2 linked regions of the Struthio camelus genome follow. The protein of the gene in region 1 interacts with the protein of each later gene in a biochemical or structural test. Links are inferred from orthologs where the notes say so. Each region holds a gene or a part of one and is shown in the gene's direction. Other genes may lie near its edges. The genes, in order: SLX4 and EME1.

Region 1 (9,051 bases):
CTCAAGAATCCCAGCGCAGAGTAGAACCAACTGCTTCTCCAAGATCCAAAGACATATAGACAAGGACCTCCTGGGTTTGGATGAGAGAGGCTACATGAACGTAACAGAAACTTGAAGCACCTCTTCCCGAAAGCGTTCCTGTCCTATACCCTATTAATTTGAAAAGTCCTCCCAGGGCAGTTTTGAGGACAACCTTATCTGGTGAGATGATCATGTACTTTCTCAGTAACTTAGGGTTCAAAAATTCCTAGGATTTCAATAAAGACGTGGAAGCTTGGTTGCTTACTGGAATCATCCTTTACAAAGTTCTTTCCAGTTGGAAACCTACCCAATTGCTTGGGAAAAGGAGGATGGCCAAAAAGGACCTTGCTTTTCTATCTTGCCATCTCGACTGAGAACAGCTCACCTCAAGTTCCTTGGGCACAGTTGAACACAGGTTTTCCTTTTCTTTCATCAGCAGGAAGCTCTATTCCAGAAAAAGTCATTTGCTCTCCTGTTTGCAGAATCATCTTTTGCTTCTCCTTTTCCTTCCCCTCTACATTTACCTCCATCTTCTCTAGAGCCCTTAGTGACTGATGCTGTGGTTGCGATGCAATCCAAGCCAAGAGGGCCTTGACAGTCATTTTCTCATTCTCATCCATGACAGAGGGGTGCTCCCCAGAGTGGCACTCTCTCCCACTGTCAGAGCTGGAGCCCCTTCTGGCAAGAAATCAATCTCAAATCACAAGCCCATTCCCATCTGACTGTTCCAGGAAACAATCCGGAGTGTGAACAGGTGGGACTGGATAAAAAATATGCCCTCAGTCCTGGTCAAAATGGAATAATTGGCAGGAGTGCAAGGACCAAAGGCTTCTGTAAGTACTTAAACTTATAAGGACTCATTGCCCTTAATCTACTTACATGCAGCAGGAAGGATGAAAACTTGGTGAAAGAAGCAGAGTTTCCTCCTCCTTAAGTCTATATGGCAAAACATGTCATAATGAATTGCTCATTAAACATCTCTGCCTGACTTTATTCCAAATGTCAAGATTATTATCTGCATGGGATTTGGGGTCAGGTAATAGCAGTTAACAAGAAGCAGTCTGTGAAGCCAAGCAAAACTTGGTTCTCCTTTTGTAGCCCAAGTAAATGAGGGGTAATTGGGTTAAAACCTGTTCCAGAAAGGAAACTCTGAGAAACTTGGGAAGTCAGAGCTGTGACAGGAGGCAGAGGGAGGTTCAGCTTGAGTTTTGTCTTTGCTAATGTATCTAAATCCCTGGGCTTGTTTTGTCTCAAGTAGTTTAGCAGGTGCTGTAAGTTATCTTGCAATATGCTTCAAGAAATCAAGCCATCAGCATTTTTTTAATTGGGCATTGCTTTTTTAAAGTTTTTAGAGAGACTTTTAGTACACATCTAATGCCCAATGCCCTTATTGATTGCTGGTGATTCTTCTTGGAAATTGTATTTGATTTCACTGTCAAAGAGAACAAGAGAAAAAAATTTATTTTATAACAAATTCATTGGAAGTGTATCCTCTCTAACTTGTGCTGTGTGACTTATGGAACGGGAATGTGCAGTTAATCTGGCAGGTTTACAAGAGGAGACAGGAATATATGCTGGCATGCACCATCCCAAAGTTCACAGTTTAGGGAAAAAAGATAACTATTCTCGAGGAAAATGCTGCATTGTTGCTTGCTTTGTCCTTTCAAGAGAGTCAGTGCACAGAGCATTGTGCTGAGCTCCATCATCCAACATGGTCAAAGCTCATGAGATCCTGTGAAGGGCAGGTTAAACCTAAACTTTACTCAGTCTTCCCATCCACTGTTATTAAACTAGGCCCCTTCACTGCTTCTCTGATGGTTTCTGACCTGGACTGAGCCAATTTGTATTGGAAGCTTCAAAAAGTTAGTCTGAAGTTGCCAAACAGCCACCAGAGTTACAAGTCTTTATAATAGATCAGGGGAACTGCTTGTCACACTGAGCAGAGAGAGCAGAGAGAAACACAAATTTTAAGATGTGCTTAATTTAGCATTCTGGGGATACATGTGTATATGTATAGATGATCTACAATGTGTGCATTTTTTATATATATATGTTTATATATTTAGTGTAAATAGCATTGCACTGTGACTTCAGGCCCAGCTGTTTTTAAAATACTTTTAATATTGGAAATACTGACTATACTGAACACGATCATAGTTATCTAGAGAGAAAGCTCAAAAATAAAGCATGATAGTAAATATCCTGTCCTTTGCAACATATATCAGAAGTGTTGCTATTTCAAGGATCTCTCTGCACCTATATAACTGTGTAATGGGAGGGTACTAATAGTGTGTATTTCTAATTAAGTCAAAATTTTCATGGCAGAGTTTAAAGCACTGGGGCCCTACATTCATGCTTTAGGCATGTCTGTAGAAGTGGCTTCACTTCCACTAGTCTGTGTTTTTCTTACCTCTTCAGTTCTTGAGCCCTGCCAGCCCAGCACGTCATCCCTGTCCCGTGTTACTGCTCCAAACCATTTTTAGCCATTTTTTTCTGGCTGAAGTTCAATAGGAAGCTGTTGTCTCCCAGCTCCCTGCACTGAGCCAGGAGAGCCAGCGCTGCCTGCTTGGCAGGAACCGTGTGTACCCTTACCCCCGAGTCGCTGTCCCTCTCCAGCCCCACTGCCCTCCGGAGGCTCTGGGGCCTCTGGTAGCCAGAAGGTGATATTGCAGCCTCTTGGTCAGCCCTGCTGTGCTGGCAGGCCCTAAGTGAACAGCCACAAACTCCACCAGCTGGGAGAGCTGCGGCTGCTGTTTCAACGCAGAGAAGACTTTGTGATTGGGGGCCGGTCGGTCATCTCTGATGCAGACCTTTTCCTTAACGGGAAGAAAAAGTGAATTCTTAAAAAGATTATTAACGAAAGTCCCGTAGGTCAGCTATCTTCCCCTACATAAATAGGGAATCAGATATCCTGCCTCTGAGCAGCTGCGTGATTTTGGGAGAGCTCCTTCCTCTCTCTATACCTGTTATTGCGGCTGCATCTTCCAGATATTCTTAAGTTCCAAATAGTGAATAAAGCCTTTTGTAGCAACCATGTCCTTGTTGCCGTTCAGCAATGGTTAGAGGCATAGAAATGTCCTGTGAAATAGATACCAGTTTGGTAAGCAGTAGGTATTGTCAAATCTCTGTGCTTTGGAGCTTACCTGTATAAAAATGCCACAATTCAGCTGGTTCTTTTTAAGTGCAGATTTTTAAAAAAATGCAATAGAAGGGATCAAGGTCGCAGTGTTGTCTGGCAGCAGCGGCGTGGAGGCTGGTCTCTAGCTGAAGATGGTGCATGTTCACTGTGTTCAGTGTCAGTTGCTGTAACGCTGCTGGGCAATTTCACGGATCGCAGGTGCGGACAGGGTTTGCAGGCTGTCTGGCTTCTTGTGGAGAAACCGCTTGACGTCCTCTTGCCGCCTACCTCGATGGCATCTATCAAAGAGGACACAGACTTCGGGGCTCAATACCAGCAAGGGTTATGGCTGTAGCTGGGAGGAGAGGAACGCGATCTGGCACTTGCAGAAAGCTTGAGTTTTACCTGGGCTATTTGTCAGGGTCTCCTCTCCTGCTCGTTCCCTGCCTCACTTCATCTATTTGAAAACACAGGTAAGAATATGAAGGCAAAAGTAAGGCTGTTTGGCATAATTTAGTGCTCCCTCTAGATTAGATTCCCTGCTTCTCTAATGCTTAGTTTGGATTTTTATTTTAAACGTTTGGTGCTCAAGAATTGCATTTATGGTATCGTGCAACAAAAAGTTACTGTGACCTGGCTTAGTAGTAATCGTGGAACCAGTGCAATGTCTCAGGACATCATAACTGGAGTATTTTCAGTATGTTTGTGCAATATTTGCTTCTAAGTTATTGCAGGATTTTCTTAAGAGCGCTTCTAATTCCCATAAAGCGTAGCAACTTGAGAGAGGACTCGAATAAACTAGCAGACGTGTTGAAAGACACAAACCAAAGGATTTCTTCATATCAGTTTTGGTTCTGGTTCTGCCATGCGGACATGGGCAGATTCTGTCTCCTGGGGAGATTCACTGCATAAAATATTCTGTTAAATCTTGCCAAAATCACCAAGGGCGCTGCTTTTTGCTTAACATTCAAGCTAAAATTGTTTGAATTCAGCATGGATTAAAAATTAAATTGCTTTACTGGTACTGAAAAAATATGGTGTCTCAGTAGCTCATTTTGTTTTAAAAGTTGTAGTTTTTTTTTTTTCCCTAGAAAATTTCCAAACTGGCAAGACTATAACAGTGTCAAATTGTTGTGGTAATGTCAAATTTTAGGGATCAAGATGTAATTACGGAAAAATAAATGCTGATGCACATAAAGGAGCCATCAGGATGCTTACATTTAGTAGCATTATTGTTAGTAAAGTACTTGATGTTTTTGAAGCAAACTAATAGGGCTGTCCTTAGCAGCATATGGAAGACGCTGTGGCTGTCAAACGTCTGTATGCCCATTCAGAAACGTTACCTAGTAGTAGCCTTGGGTCTTACTGCATCCATGCCAAGCTTTAAGGAAAAACTCCGCTTCCGACACAGAAACCTGCACTGAGAACGGAAACCCAGCGTAGGAAGAAGCCCCCTGCCTCTCTGGTGCTTTGATTACCTGAAGACCTTTAGCCACAACTAACTGCTCACCTGGAGGAAATTGCTTTTGAACACAGCTCAGAGTTTAAAATTCAGTATGAGATCTCAGAGCCTGGACTGAGCGGTGTGAAAGCTTGACATCCATTTTCCTTTTCGACCCCAGGTAGTAAAAAGTACGAAATACGAAGGTAACGCTCTCTCGCTTGACCCAGGAGCCCGGGGAAGCTGGAGGTACAGCGCTGCTCACCTTCCGTGTCAGTACTGCCACCCATGTCCTGCTGAGGACCAAACCGCTCGTTACATCCCCAAAGCACTACAATTATATTGGTCTTCAGCGGCGGCTTTGTAGCCCACCAATGAGTATAGGGCAGGTTTTATCCGGGCAGCTGAAGGAGTGAGTTTTTGGCGCTCACAAGCAAATGTTACGTCTTTATGTCCTCAACATTCATATGCTTCTACAGCTGCGTGTTTCCAAGGATTTTAATTCTTTTCAAAAAAAAAAAAAGGGCAACGCTCTGCTACATGTTTTCACCTGAGACCTGTTCACCTGTGTGGCAGCCGCGGGCCCCGCTCAAGCGCTCCTGTATTTTACTCTTCCCGCGGTTGCGGCGGGGGGCGGCGGGGCTGCCCGCCCCGGGGCGGGTTTCCCTCAGCGGCCGCCGCCCACCGACGCGCGGCGCGGAAGGGCCGCGAGCAGCCGGCGACCGTTGGGCCGGCTGACGGCGGGCCGTCACCATGGCAACCGCTCCCGCGGCGGGAAACCTTTGCGCCTGCGCGGGGAAGGCGCGGCCCAGGCCGAGCGCGCGTGCGCAAGCCGCCCGGGAAGGGGGGGTCGGGGAGACGGTTGGCGCGCGGCGCATGCGCTTCGCCTCAGTGTCGGCGCTCCCCGCCGTTGTGGCAGGGCGCGAGGAGCGGAGGGAGCCCGTGGCCCGGCGGAGAGGTCAGCGCCGGGCGGCGGGCCGGGGGCGGCTGTGGCGGCGGGCCGAGCGGGCGCGGCGGCACCGGGCGCTCCGCCCTGTCAGCGGCGGCCGCGCGGGCCGCGCCTCTGTGGGGCCGGCGGCGGGCGGGCGGTTGGCGTGACGTCACTCCGCCGCCGCCGCCATCGGCGCTCCCCGGCGCGGCGCCACCTGCCGGCGGGGAGGCGGCGGCGCCGCGGCCTGCGAGAGAGGGCGAGGTGCGGAGCTGGGTCGCCGCGGGCCCCTCGGGCCTGGACAGGGCGAGGCGCTGCCGGCGGGGGCGGCATGGGCCCCGCGCCTGCACCCGCCCCGGGCGCTTCCAGCCGGGCCGCGGGGCCCTGACGCCTTGGGGGAGGCTGCTTCGCGGGCCGCGGGGTCGGACTCCGAAGGGCAGCTCCTTGCTGCGCTGCGGCCGCCCCGTGGGGCGAAGCCTCAGCCCTTGGCGTCACCTGCCGTCAAAAGCAAACAAGAGTTGGGGGTCAAGCGGAGCCGAAGTTGTTCAATGGAGGGCCGGATAAGGCGGGTGCGCCGTCGGCGGCGGCCCTGCGCCAAGGTGTGCCTGATGTCAGCCGGCTGGGTGTTCCAGGCAAACTCCCCGCGCCACGCTGAGCGCGGCGGTAACGTCCAGGGCTGCTGGGGAGATCCAGTAAAAACTGAAACAACCGTCAACGATTCTGTTGGCTGCTTCGTGAAGCAATAAAGAATTGTATCTATCGCTTCCAGGCCCAAGGGGCCTGGGGCAAAAGGGCCCACCTTGAGCGGAAACAGGCAGTGCTGGCTGTTCTAATGGCAGGACTGTGCCCCTGATCCTGCAGATGTGCAGGTGCACATCTAGTAGCCATGATGATCTTAAATAAAGCAGAAATTGTGCATTTGCAGGGCTAAAATATTTCTTATTTGTAATAAATAGTTTGATGCTAGTAATGCCCGAAGGCAACAACTTTAATTCATGCTCAGTCTACTGGCTGCTGTATAAACTCAAAAATCGTAGGCTGGGTACAGTCGCTGCTCTAATTACAAAAAGATCCTGGTTTGGTTAGCTTTCACATCTCCTTCAGATCCTACTCCTCATCTCCCTCCTGGTCCGTCCCCTCCCCTTTGGTTTGGCTGTTTGGCTTGAAACAGTTTTCTCTGTATCTAGGAAATGTTATATTGCTTTGCACTGTGGGGATGTGTCAGCAGCAGATTGGAAACAGAAACAAAAGAAATTTTATCATAAGCTTTACATTCGGAAGAAAACGGACCTCAAGTTCTTCTGAGCGTTTGCTTTTCCCACTGGCTCAATTTTTGTTAAAGCTTTTTCCAAAGGAGGTGTCAAATGGTAGAAAATAGCAATTTAAACAGGATATTTGACACTTTATTGTGCGCTCGTGAACCTCCAACTATGCTTCGGGGTCCTCAATTGTGTTTAAGGCCCTTCCTCAGAGTTTCTAGAAAGAATTTTCCTGAAAGCTAAACATAGAGGAACTGACTTAGTAGTCTGTGAGCTGACCTCTTGCTCTTATTAGTAGGCTACGGAACAGACACATTTATGCATCCCTGAGATTATTGGTGTGATAACCAGAGGTTCCTGGAGTGCTCATATCAAGTTTGTAGGTAATGATATATTTATATATTGAGGATGTCAAGGACTTAAGTTAGTAAAAGGAAAAAGTAGTTTAATGTAAAGACATGTAAAAATCTATTCTGAGAACTGTAAACCAAGCCTATCTACTTCCAATATACTTTGTTAGTATGGAGAACAGGTATGATAGGGCAGAATCAGCTTAAAGCAATTTACCTACAAGATACTATGTTATGTATTTTACTGTAGCTCTTATATATTATTTTAGCTGGGAAGAGAGCAAATTATACATTACTGTAAATTAATTAAATGTTAGTGTAAAAGACCTAGGTTTAGTCTGCCTGTGGAAATCTGTGATGAATTTGGTCACCTTTCAAAGCAGGTATCTTACTGTTGTGGAGAATGCGGAAAAATCAAAATACTGTGTTAAATTTCACTATATGTTTGGCTTTTGTGATGACATAGATTTTGACATAATCTAAAATCAGAAGATAAACTTTTTGAAAACTATTGATAGAATGTACATTGTTTTAAGTAACCATCCCCTTCAGTATTTAATGCCCTTTAGAATAACACTGCACTCTTGAAAAGAAATGGCTTGCATATTTAACAATAAAATCTTCTTATTTCTCTTTATAGTCACTTCCTCACTGATTATTCAGTTGATCTCTTTCCACAAACATCTGTAACTCTTGATTGCTGTGTTCTTGATCATTCTTTATCCTACCAAATGATGGAATCCTCTGAAATGATCAAAATTGTTGCTGTCTGAGTTGGGTCAGAAACCTGGGGTAAGGTAACAGTGTGGTCACTCGTGATGGAGTAGGTAAGGCTTTTTTCTTTGTGCCGAAAGGGCAGTTGGAAAGAAAGTCTTTCCTAAGCTATGTGCTGCTAATGCTGCGTTATCTGTAGGTAACCTCTCTGGTTTGTGAATGAATTGTGCTACAGGTTCACTGTAGCAATGCCGCTGCTGTTTTCACTAGTGCCAAGCAGGAAACACAACCTTTTGGCTGCTCTACTTACCAAGGTGGCCACAGAATCAGATACGGACCCTCCCATTAGTCTGATGTCAGGGCTCTTAACTCCTTTGTAGTTACTGGATAGACTTGCCTATCCTGTGAGTATGGCCTGTGCTCCTGTTCCTAAAATATGACTTTGTATTGAGATTTATATTGCATGCCTGTGCTAGTTTGTCACGCGGTGTGCGTTGTTCTGCCTCAGTCTGTCATCAACGCTGTCTAGCAGGTCCCTTGTTCGTGTCATCAGACAGCTTGATCAGTGGTAGTTGATGTCTCTCCTAACTCCTTTCCTAAGTCTAAATAATAGAAAAACAAAACAGGCTGTGAGTGAATCTCTGGGATCATACTAGGAACATACATATTCAACGATTGCTCTTCGTTGCATTTTGAAACCTTTATGGCAGCTAGATTTTAATCGTTTTAAATGTGTGTAGTGTTGACTTTGTATGATTTTAATTAATCAGTTTGTCCCTGTTACTACCTTAGCGGTTTACAAAATGCTTACACCTCTTAGCATACAGAGGTCTCATTAAAAAGATACTAAGTTAACACAGGAGATGGTGTTTTTCATAACACTGTGTTGATTCATATTAATTTGTTATCCGTCTTCCGTTATCAAGTCCCATATAAGCTATTGCGTTAACAGCCTGGCGTTGATCTCAGTCTGAAAGAGGGGTGTTTACTTCCCAGATCGTCCTTTTGAAAGATCACAGTTAGCAGTCTAGAGAGCTCTTAGCCAGTCTTCCCGGAACGTCTTGCAGTTTATCTGATTCTGTTGATAGAAATACCTTCAGGAGCTGCAGTTTAGTAGTCTTTGGGTTACTGTTGGAGTAGACGAATTTCATCATCGTTATGTGATAGATACTATGAGAACATTTAGTTCTGCGTATTCTGAGGTAGTATTAACAGCGCTA
Region 2 (9,367 bases), on another chromosome or scaffold:
AAAATCGGAATGCTAAAGGCACAGGAGAGTAAGGCCCAGATTGCCCAAGGATGATGAGTTGGGCACTTAAAATTTCTTGATCTAAGCCCAAGTGACTTGCCCAGAAGAGTGGGGCAGGGTAATGCCACTTACAATTAGGAGGGGTGACTGCAGCACAGGCCAGTATTGGCACAGCTGGCTTTACCAGTCATGGTAGCAGTGAATAAGCCCTGCCATGAACTGCAGTGGGAGCTCTGCCACAACATCCACTGTGCCACTGCTGTCGTTCTCTGTGGGAAGAGAGAGAAAGCTAGCCCAGCTCTGCCAAAATATAAAGTAACTAAAGCCCAGAGTTTCTCTTTTGCTGCTATACAGTGAGACTTGCTATCAAAATCTGGAAAGTCTGGTTTCTAGGTGCTTATATAAACAGAAGAGGAAGAGGTGGGATAATCTCCTTGCTATTTCTGATCCGCTGTAATACTTTTCCTCTCTCCTTCGTAGATGCCACCTCCCTACGAGCATGCTCTAAGGCATCCTCCAGCTTTCTCAGGAACAGTAGTAAGCTCAGAGACTTTGGACAGACATGGCATGCCAGACCCTTTCCAGGCCCCTCTCAGCTACCAAACTCAGAGAAACACAGCAGTGTAAGGACTCAGCCTCAAGATACTCCTTCCCATGCTGTCAGTGACAGAAGTGCCTGTGACATCGTTCTTGTCTGCAGGGAACAGCTAAACCTTAGACCTTCACAATCAGCTGAGAAACACACAGGCAAGTCGGACCCAGCCATTGGAGACTTCCATCCTGCAGCCCAAGGATAAAAGCGGGGCCGCCTCTAAACATTGCTCTTTGTCCAGAATAACCAGCGACGTCTGCTTGCTCTTCTCTCTGGCAAACATACTGTTACCAGAGAGCTACTTTGTTCTACACGGGGAGCAAAGCAAAGGTGAAGGTCTGCTCAGCTTGAGCCTGTTGAGGCAGCTGAGTGTAACATACCTCTGTGAGGCTGTGGCAAGTACTGCCAAACATACTAAGTGTTAGACCTCAGAAGGTGGTCGTGTTCTACTACTTCACTTATTTCTTAGGTTATAAAATGGTTTTCTTTATCAGCGTATCAGGTACCAGGTGGGAGTCCTGACCTGAGAGTAACAGAATGAATCTGCATCAGAGCATCACTATGTGCTCTCACAGCAACATTCCTCTGGGATATAGAACAATTTTGTATGAACTTGAGATAAAGATTCAGGTGTCCAGGAGATTCCAGTTTCAAGATCCAGGAGCTTGTGTTACTTGCAGTGCTGTATGCAGAGACTGGCAAGACGAACTGTGTGACTGGACATGCAGCTGGGAAAGGATAGAAGCATGGAGGGAATAGCCGCTGGTCTCTAAGAAGGACATAAAGAAACAAAGGTGGAAATATGTGGTTAACCCAGTCTACTTAGTTTTCTTTTGCAGAGCAGACAATCTAGTAATGTTAACGCTGGTGTCATTACACCACTGATTTTAATATCCTGTTTTCTACTGCAAAACAATTGTTTCAAAAATTGTTTACAAACCTGTAGATAAAGTGAGATCTGATTGGCCACCAGGCATCTGCGCTCCTGTCTTTTGAGCAGCATGAACAACCATGGAATGACTCATAGAAAAGATAAAAGGGTAGTCTGGATTACGGCTTTATGAGGTACCTCATGGCCTCCAGCAGCTGAGTTTCAAATACCATCCCAGGCTTGTGCACCTTACCAGGCACTCATGACTAATTATTTAGAGTTAGCTTTAGGAATGTAAACTTGCCTCATGTGGCTAGTAAATGGAACACTTTCAGGGATCGTATTGGAGTTAATAACTAACTCATCTCACTGATTAAGAAAAAACACTAGCTTCCTGGGATGCAGAGTTAGGTGCTAGTGGAAGAGGCTATGTCCTCTTCTGCAATATCTACAATTAAGATAGATACAAATATAACAGTAATGTCTAAAAATCATTAAAACTTGAGAGGGAATTATTAGTGGGAAAATAACCGATATAAGAGTGATTGTGAAGTTAACTAATCTAAGGAAACAGTGGAACAGGTTCTCCAGAAAAAGACAGCTCCACTTACTAAATGAGCATAAGCAACATAGATTCCGTGAACAGTCAAGATACTCAAGAAACCCATAGCATTTATTAAACCCTCTTATAAATGCCAGCAGGTGATTCCTGTGCCCAAGCACCAATCACATGCACTTTAGGAGCAAGAAGAGAGTCCTACACAAATATTTTCAGAGCTAGAATATTCTTCGAGGTATGTGGTATCCTAGGATGCCAGACCAGCTATAGTGATCTGTCCCAGCAGTTCTTCCCCATCTGCTGCTCCTAGATCGCACGGGAGGCTCAAAGCATGTTGACCAGTTTGAAGCTTCCTACTTCTGTGGTAGGGATAACACTGATGAAGGTTTTGTAAAGAATCGCTCCTTTAGGTAGACGGCAGATCACCTCCCTGCTCTCGCTGCTGCGGGGCGGAGGTACATAGACCTCTTTGGTGTATCTCACAATGCCATCCTCCAGAGCATAAAGTGTCTTGTTACGGCCTATCCCCACCTGGAAGAGGACAAGCACACTGTTAGAAAGGAAAGGCTGGAGGTACACCGCAGAAGCAGATCTGATCATCAGACTGCCTTGTTTGATATCCTGGTTTCAAAAGCAGCTGCTGCTTTGTATTTTAGAATGAAAGAAAACCACATTGCTTTGCTTCCAGCAAACAGTAGGTAATGTTTTTTATTACAAGGGAGGAGATACCAATTCCACCCTTAAGTATACCCTTAAGAGCCCAATTAGGTTACAGAAGTCTTTCAGGATATTCATAACTCTCAGTCCTTTCCCAAGTCACATGGGCACAGATATGATTCTAAGCAGGCTTTGTGACTAAGAAATAGAAGGCAGTGAAACCAGTTTTCAGGATTACATGGAAAATTGGGGAGGAAATTAAGAACCAGCTTGTAAGAAGCAGCATTGACTACTGGACTCTGTTGTGGGCTGCTGCTGTCCTCTTGAGAACTGAGGAAGAGCTGGAAAAGCAACTTACATGAGCCCCTGGGTGCCAGCGTATCAACCGCTGCGTAGCCAAAGTGTTGCCTGCGTGCACAAATGTACCTGCAACAGAGTTGCACAGTCAGATTGCAGAGGAATGGAGCTCCCTGGAGCTCGCAGAATACAAACAGTTCTGGAACTTATAAAACCAGCTTTCTGTGAGATTTTTCTAAAGAAAAATGACTTCAAATTCTAAAAGCATCTAAACAAAAATGCTATTGGCAAGAAATAGAAGGCAATTGATACATAATGTCAAAGAGCAATTCTAATCTTTGAAAAGATTACTTGTAGGGCAGAAGGCATTTTCTGTTTGCTCAGGGCATTTGTTTTATTACCTCTTACATTGATCTGTTTTCATCAGCAAACCTACTAATTATTAAGCACTCAACTATAAGAATCTTGTACTTTGGCTTCTGCTAAGCCTCATAATTCTCCCCTTTGTAAACATCTAAAATGCCCAGCTTTTGAAAACAGCATGGGGTGAAAGTGCATTGGAGTTATCAGGTGCCCCACAGTGTACCCCTCCTCCCAGACTCTCTAGAGAGAGGCAAAGTTAGAATCAAAGTATGTTTTCTATAGGCAATTTCAGCTGGCTGCATGGAGGCCCACCTGAGAGGGAGGCTGACTCACCCTGCCCTCCTGCTGGTGACTGGTGTAATTATGGATGGTGAGGCTTTGCTCAAACTCCTGTTTCCTTTCTCTTCTTTTCACCTCCTTCTGAAACACTCAGCAGTTACACATCTAACAGCCGTAGCAGGGGATAACCTGTGGAGAACCCACTGTAACACACATAAGGCTACTAAGCAGATGCCTTTACCTACCATCTACTTTTTTGGCTCCATAGCGTTTCCCAGGGCTGCGGCCACCTAAATTTTTTGAGCTGCCTCCAGCTTTCTTAGAAGCACATCTCACAGCAACCAGGCTTGTTCGCGGAGCAGCTAGAACTAGATTCAGACCAAGAACAACAACAACAAAAATCTCAGCTGAAAAAAAATCTTAATACTCTTCCTTTAAATCTTGAAAAAAAGACTGTCAATCAGTATACGTTTTAAAGCTAGAGGCAAAAGAAAGCCCTGAGGGAAAATATTACTACAAAGGTATATCATGGATAGACCACTGTAGACTAAATCTTCTGCAAAGAGGCCACGTTTCAAGAACTGCTGCTACCCAGGGAAGAATAAAACTCTCAGCAATGATGTTAAAGGACATATACAAATTCATATTTCAGTAATGCCTTATAAATCCATGAGCTACAGAAGTTACTGGTTGCTATGGATTGGCCTTACATAGCTTTGAGAAAAGACAAATTGTGATCTGTGTTTTGGTCTCCCCTTCAACTGAATTGGATTTACTTAAACAGTCTCATCTATAAGACTACAAAATGTTAAGACTGCCATTCAGGAAAGTATGTAAGCATAAATATAGTTACTATCCTGAACAAAAACTAATTTAAGCATTTTATGCAGCTCCTTGAGTTACAATCAGGACAAGTCAAGGAAAAAGAAAGCAGTTATTACAGTAACCATTATCTCTGGAACACAAAATATCATTCACGCTACAAAGCTCTTTCTTAAAAAGAGGAAAAGCACTTTTGAGTAAATACACTGATCTTCTTATCAAGAGAGCTGACCCTTCAGTGAACTTCTCTCTGTAAAAAAATGACTGAGATATAATAACTTCTTTTTACAAGTCTCTTTAGTTCCCTTTTACTTGCAGTTAGCAGCCATACCTAATTTTTTTTCTAAATCCAAATCTAAATTCAACCTCTTCAGCAGCAAGTTAGTAAAGAAGAGTAGCAGTCATAAAATTCTCATTTCCTTATTCAGAGTAGAAGCACTGAGTTAGTTTAATCTTAATTAAATTATCACAGATACTCAATGAGCTAAAATATCCCAGAGAGGAGGGAAATAGCTCTACAAAGAATGGTTAACTTTGATGCTTGATACTCACTGAGTACAAAAAAAAAAGCTGAGGCGTGACAAACTGCAGAGAAACGGGGAAAGATGGAAGGGGGTTTGCAGTTTCACATATATGCAAATTCTACTAAGTTAGAATCCAGTTAACTTTTATCAAAGAAAAAAAAACTGCAGTTGATTCCAAAGTTACATTTTGTGTTGAATGAAAAAAGCTGGCTAACCAAAAGTAAACCTCAATGCATCAAACATGGGGGGAAAGCAGTCTATCCACAGAGTGAAACAGCAAGGGACAGAGTTTGCAATTTAATAAAAATTACACTGGAAATCAACGCGGGAACTTCAAAACACTGACCTCCAGACAGAAATTATGACAGTATTCCTGACTATAACGTTTCTGAATAACAAAAGGGATTTCTAGGCCTCCTGGCTCTTGCAGTGCACAGGGATAGAGCGCCCCCCCTTGCTCTTTGATCTCCACACAGTAGAAATAAATAGCGTTTTTCCAAAATTGACTTTTTCCCCCTTGAGGACAGTCAAGCCGTGGAAGAGGCTGCCCAGAGGATTGGTGCAAGTCTCCATCCTTGGAGACCTTTGGAGACCAGAACGGAAAAAGCCCTGAGCAACTCGGCCTGAGCTCAGAGCTGGCCCTGTTTTGAGCAGGACGGACCGGCGACCTCCCGAGCTCCTCGACCACTGAGATCCCAACCCCACCCCGTGACGGGGCAGCCGCCCGGATGCAGACACCGGGGCTGACGCCCTCGCCCGACACCGCCAGCCCCGCGGCCGCTCACCCCGGCCCTGCGGAGCCCACGCAGGCGAGCCGGCGGCCTGAGGAGAGGGGAAGACCTCAGGATCGGTGGCGCCCACCCGCGAGAACGGGCCTCCCCTCGGGCCACCACCCCTCTCCTCAGCCGGGCCCAGGCTCCCACCCGCGGCCCCTTACAGCCCTTTCACTCACGCAGCTGCCTCAGCGCCGCCATCTTCCCCCGGCGCTGCGTCGCCTCCGCTTCCGGCGCGCGCGCGCGCGCGACCGTTAGGGCCAACGGCCGCCGGCGCGAGCGCGCGCGCGTTCGAACCAACCGCCGCCCGCGCGGCCGTTACTGCCTTCTCCCTACCCGCCCCGGGGCAGGACCGCTGAGGATGGCGGCGGAGAGCGACGAGGAGGTGCTGCCTACCTTCTCCTTCCTGCAGCAGGCGCCGCCGGCCGTCGCGGCCTGCAGCTCGGACTCCGAGCCGTCCTCGCCTCCTTCTCCGAGGCGGGGAAGGGCCTCGCGTAGCCAGGCCGCCGCGGAAGACGTTGTGATGCTGAGCAGTGACAGCGAGAGCGACGTAGAGCTCGTCCCGCTGTCGGAGAGGCTAAAGAGGAAACCGCGCCCCAGCGGGCTCTGCGCAACGGGGGTTGTGCCTGTCGAGGCCCCCCAGCTGGGCAGCAGGGATACTGCAAGCCCAGCTGGGGGAACTGGGCTCTGCCAGAGCGCTGGCCAGTTGGCTCCTGGCAGCAGAGGACAGCATCTTCCAGAGTCCTCTGAGGTCCCGAGAGCCCTGGCACCGTCCGGAGAAATGTTTTATAGGAGCCCAAATGATGACGTGCGCGGTTCTGGCAGACCACCTTTGTGCCCGCTGGCAGACTGCTTGTCTGATTCCGCAGCCCAAAGTAGCAGGTTGTTGGGAAAAGAAGCAAGTCTGGAAACATCTCCTCCTCCAAAGAAGTCAAAATATAGTCAGAAGGAAAGGGAGACAGTCTCTCAGGCTGCATGGCAGAGGAGGAAGGAGCGCGAAGCACGGAAGAGGCAGCAGGAGCAGGAAAAAGAGAGGAGGAAGGCCCTTGCCAAGACGTTGAAAGCTCAGCGTCCTGGGGAGTGCCAGAAATACATAACAGTGGTGCTAGACCCAGGTACTTTTCCCCACATCCTGCATCTGCCTTATATGAATTATCAACTCTTGCTATGGAAGCCTGACCCATGCACCAATTTCAGTTCTCTTACAGGTAGAAGGTGGTGGACAGGTCCTCAGTTCTTTGCAGTCTGGGAATTATTCCTGTGTGATTGAGAGTCAGACTGTTCCCTGCAGCATCACTTGGCGGAGAAGGGCTGTGTCATCTCAGGTGTGGGAGCAAAATCTTGATGTTCTTGCCTTTTTCTTTGACTCCTATTTGAACTAGATAGTAGTAGTTATAAGCAACCCAAGTAACTGCCTTCCAAACTTTTTCCTATCTTGGAGCTCTGAGTGAGAGCACCAGTCTGAGTGAGCTGAATTATAGACAGACGATTGGTCTGGTTTTTTGTTTTCATATCTGGGCAGATTCAAGAAGAAAGTGGATGGACGGAAGAACCGAATGTCCTGGTTCTGCTTCGCTTGGAGGAGTTTTTGTTCATGGTTCACAACTACAAACAAGTGAGACTGCTTATGACTTTTTCATACTCTCAGAATATGTCTTGCTGAAAGGGTGGTATTTGTCGTCTCTTTTCACGGCAGTAAGGTTTTAACGTGGGAAGGAAGCTATGGTTCCAGTAAAGTATAAATCTGATTTTAGAAGCCGTTACTGGATCAAAACCAGCAAGGCTGTATGATGCAAAGCTCTTACCTGGTACAAACCTTCTCCGCTAATTACAATTTTTCATAGATTTTTTGAAGAGGAAATGTTGTCCTAATAGATATTGAAAGATCAAGGATGGTCTTTGCTGCTATAGCTTTACACTGGATCAGGCGTTATCTGTTTGCTTACAGCCGCTAAATAGCCAATATAAACAGTGCTTTGTGTACTTTTGTTAATGAGACAGGTATACATTTTTGTGCTCATGCCTGTTCTCAAATTAAATATGTATTTCAAGAATATCAGACAGTACACAGATCTGATACTGGTAAGGGTGGAATCCAGACCTCAGTAGAAAGAGAAAAATCCTGATTCAAAACTCTATGAATATCCAGCACTGAGAATCTTTTTGAATTGACATGATTAGACTCTCCTTTTCTGCTATGTTGGAAGGAGGCTTGAGACATACGCAAGCTTCTTTGCTTAATCGGCCAGCTGGGTGTCCCTCCAGAATAGGAAACTAAACCTTAGTCCTGTGGGATAGACCTTTTCTTCTGCAAAGATCCAGTTGCACAATTGGGGCCATAGGTTGTTCTATCCTAAAGCTAGGACAGAAGGCCTATATAGGCTGGCCTATATAACTCAGAATTTTTTAAACCCCCCCCTCCCCCCCGTTTTTTTTTTTTTTTTCTGTTGATCTTTGCAGGAAGTCCAGGGCTGCACAGAAGGACAGAAGGAGACACTACAGAGTTTTGTTGCTCATGTGATGGAGAAAATGCCTGGGAAGATTCTGGCACTGGCAGTGGTTGAAGTAGAAAATTATTTCAGGTTAGGCTTTTTTCCCTTGTCTTTGGCACTGAAAAATATAATAGGTATTTACATTAATTCCTTCTAGCAAAGACTGGAACATAAGAAGTATTCCTACCCAAAACTGTTCTACTATTTGTTATAGAAGAACAGAAACAAAGGTCCACCTAGCCTATCACCATGAGTGACCAACAGCAAATATCTAGGGAAGAGCATGAGGAGAGGGGAAAAAATGTAGGATACTTCCTTTGAATACCTTCCTAGCTTCCAAAAATTTGTTGCTGAGGCGTTTTCGTAATCAGATGTAATGTTTTTGTGTTTAATAGTCCTTGACAGTTTCTTCTATTTGGCATCCCCTAGTAGGGGTGCTGACACTAAGTTATTAGGCACTCCACAGCAGCCTGATCTTCTGTGCTATTTGTGCTGACGTGAACTCCTTATCTTCCTCTTCTTAGATCTCTCAGAGCTCAGTCAAAAAAGAGACTGCAACAGGCAGCAGTGAATGGAGACCAAGCAGAGGAACAGGGAAAACGGAGAAAAAAGAAAGCTAAGGATTCTGGCCCGGATGTGTCCAGACTAGATGTGGAAGAAGTGAGTACCTTTAGAACAGGCATGCAGTAGTCGTCTCTGTTCCTGTCTGCCCTTGACTGAGCGTTTGACCCAATCATGCTTTTTCTTGGGTGGGGGAATTCAGCCTTTGTGCACATCAGCGCTGAACTGGAATGGGTGGCCTGCATGTAACGAGAGCCCTCCACTGAGGAGCTAAGTCAGCTGAAGTGGCACTAACCTGCTATTCCACAAGCAGGAGACCAACTGCCCCTACATACCTTAGTGCCTCAAGCTAGCTGTTCACGTACTGGGGAGAGTGTGCATGGTCTTGTCCTATAGCAAGGTGTGATGACACTTTTTGTATCAGACGAGCAGAGTCTGATGGGATAAGAGGATGAATTGTTCCATTATTGTTTCCGCTGTTGTTTACAGGCGCTGGTGGATCTGCAGCTGCACACGCAAGTCCAAGTCAGATTTGCTGAGAGCTGGGAGGAACTCGGAGAGTTTGTCAGTATGTTCA

The links.
Region 2: the proteins of SLX4 (region 1) and EME1 form a complex in vitro, tested with the Homo sapiens proteins (3 studies listed by BioGRID, with this or other methods). The link is inferred for Struthio camelus from reciprocal best matches to the Homo sapiens genes SLX4 and EME1.

What each region holds. Positions count from the first base shown.
Region 1 is NC_090956.1:18,639,532-18,648,582, forward strand, and holds the start of SLX4 (structure-specific endonuclease subunit SLX4), read left to right. Parts: upstream 1-5,383; 5' UTR 5,384-5,538; intron 5,539-7,062; exon of another isoform or gene 7,063-9,051. UniProt on the Homo sapiens protein: Regulatory subunit that interacts with and increases the activity of different structure-specific endonucleases.
Region 2 is NC_090960.1:7,782,147-7,791,513, reverse strand, and holds the start of EME1 (crossover junction endonuclease EME1), read left to right. Parts: upstream 1-5,972; 5' UTR 5,973-6,098; coding exon 6,099-6,852; intron 6,853-6,934; coding exon 6,935-7,062; intron 7,063-7,259; coding exon 7,260-7,352; intron 7,353-8,197; coding exon 8,198-8,319; intron 8,320-8,753; coding exon 8,754-8,889; intron 8,890-9,279; coding exon 9,280-9,367. Other genes in the region: uncharacterized protein, read left to right, coding at 481-627; MRPL27 (large ribosomal subunit protein bL27m), read right to left, coding at 2,347-2,553, 3,038-3,105, 3,864-3,986, 5,917-5,938. UniProt on the Homo sapiens protein: Non-catalytic subunit of the structure-specific, heterodimeric DNA endonuclease MUS81-EME1 which is involved in the maintenance of genome stability. In the complex, EME1 is required for DNA cleavage, participating in DNA recognition and bending.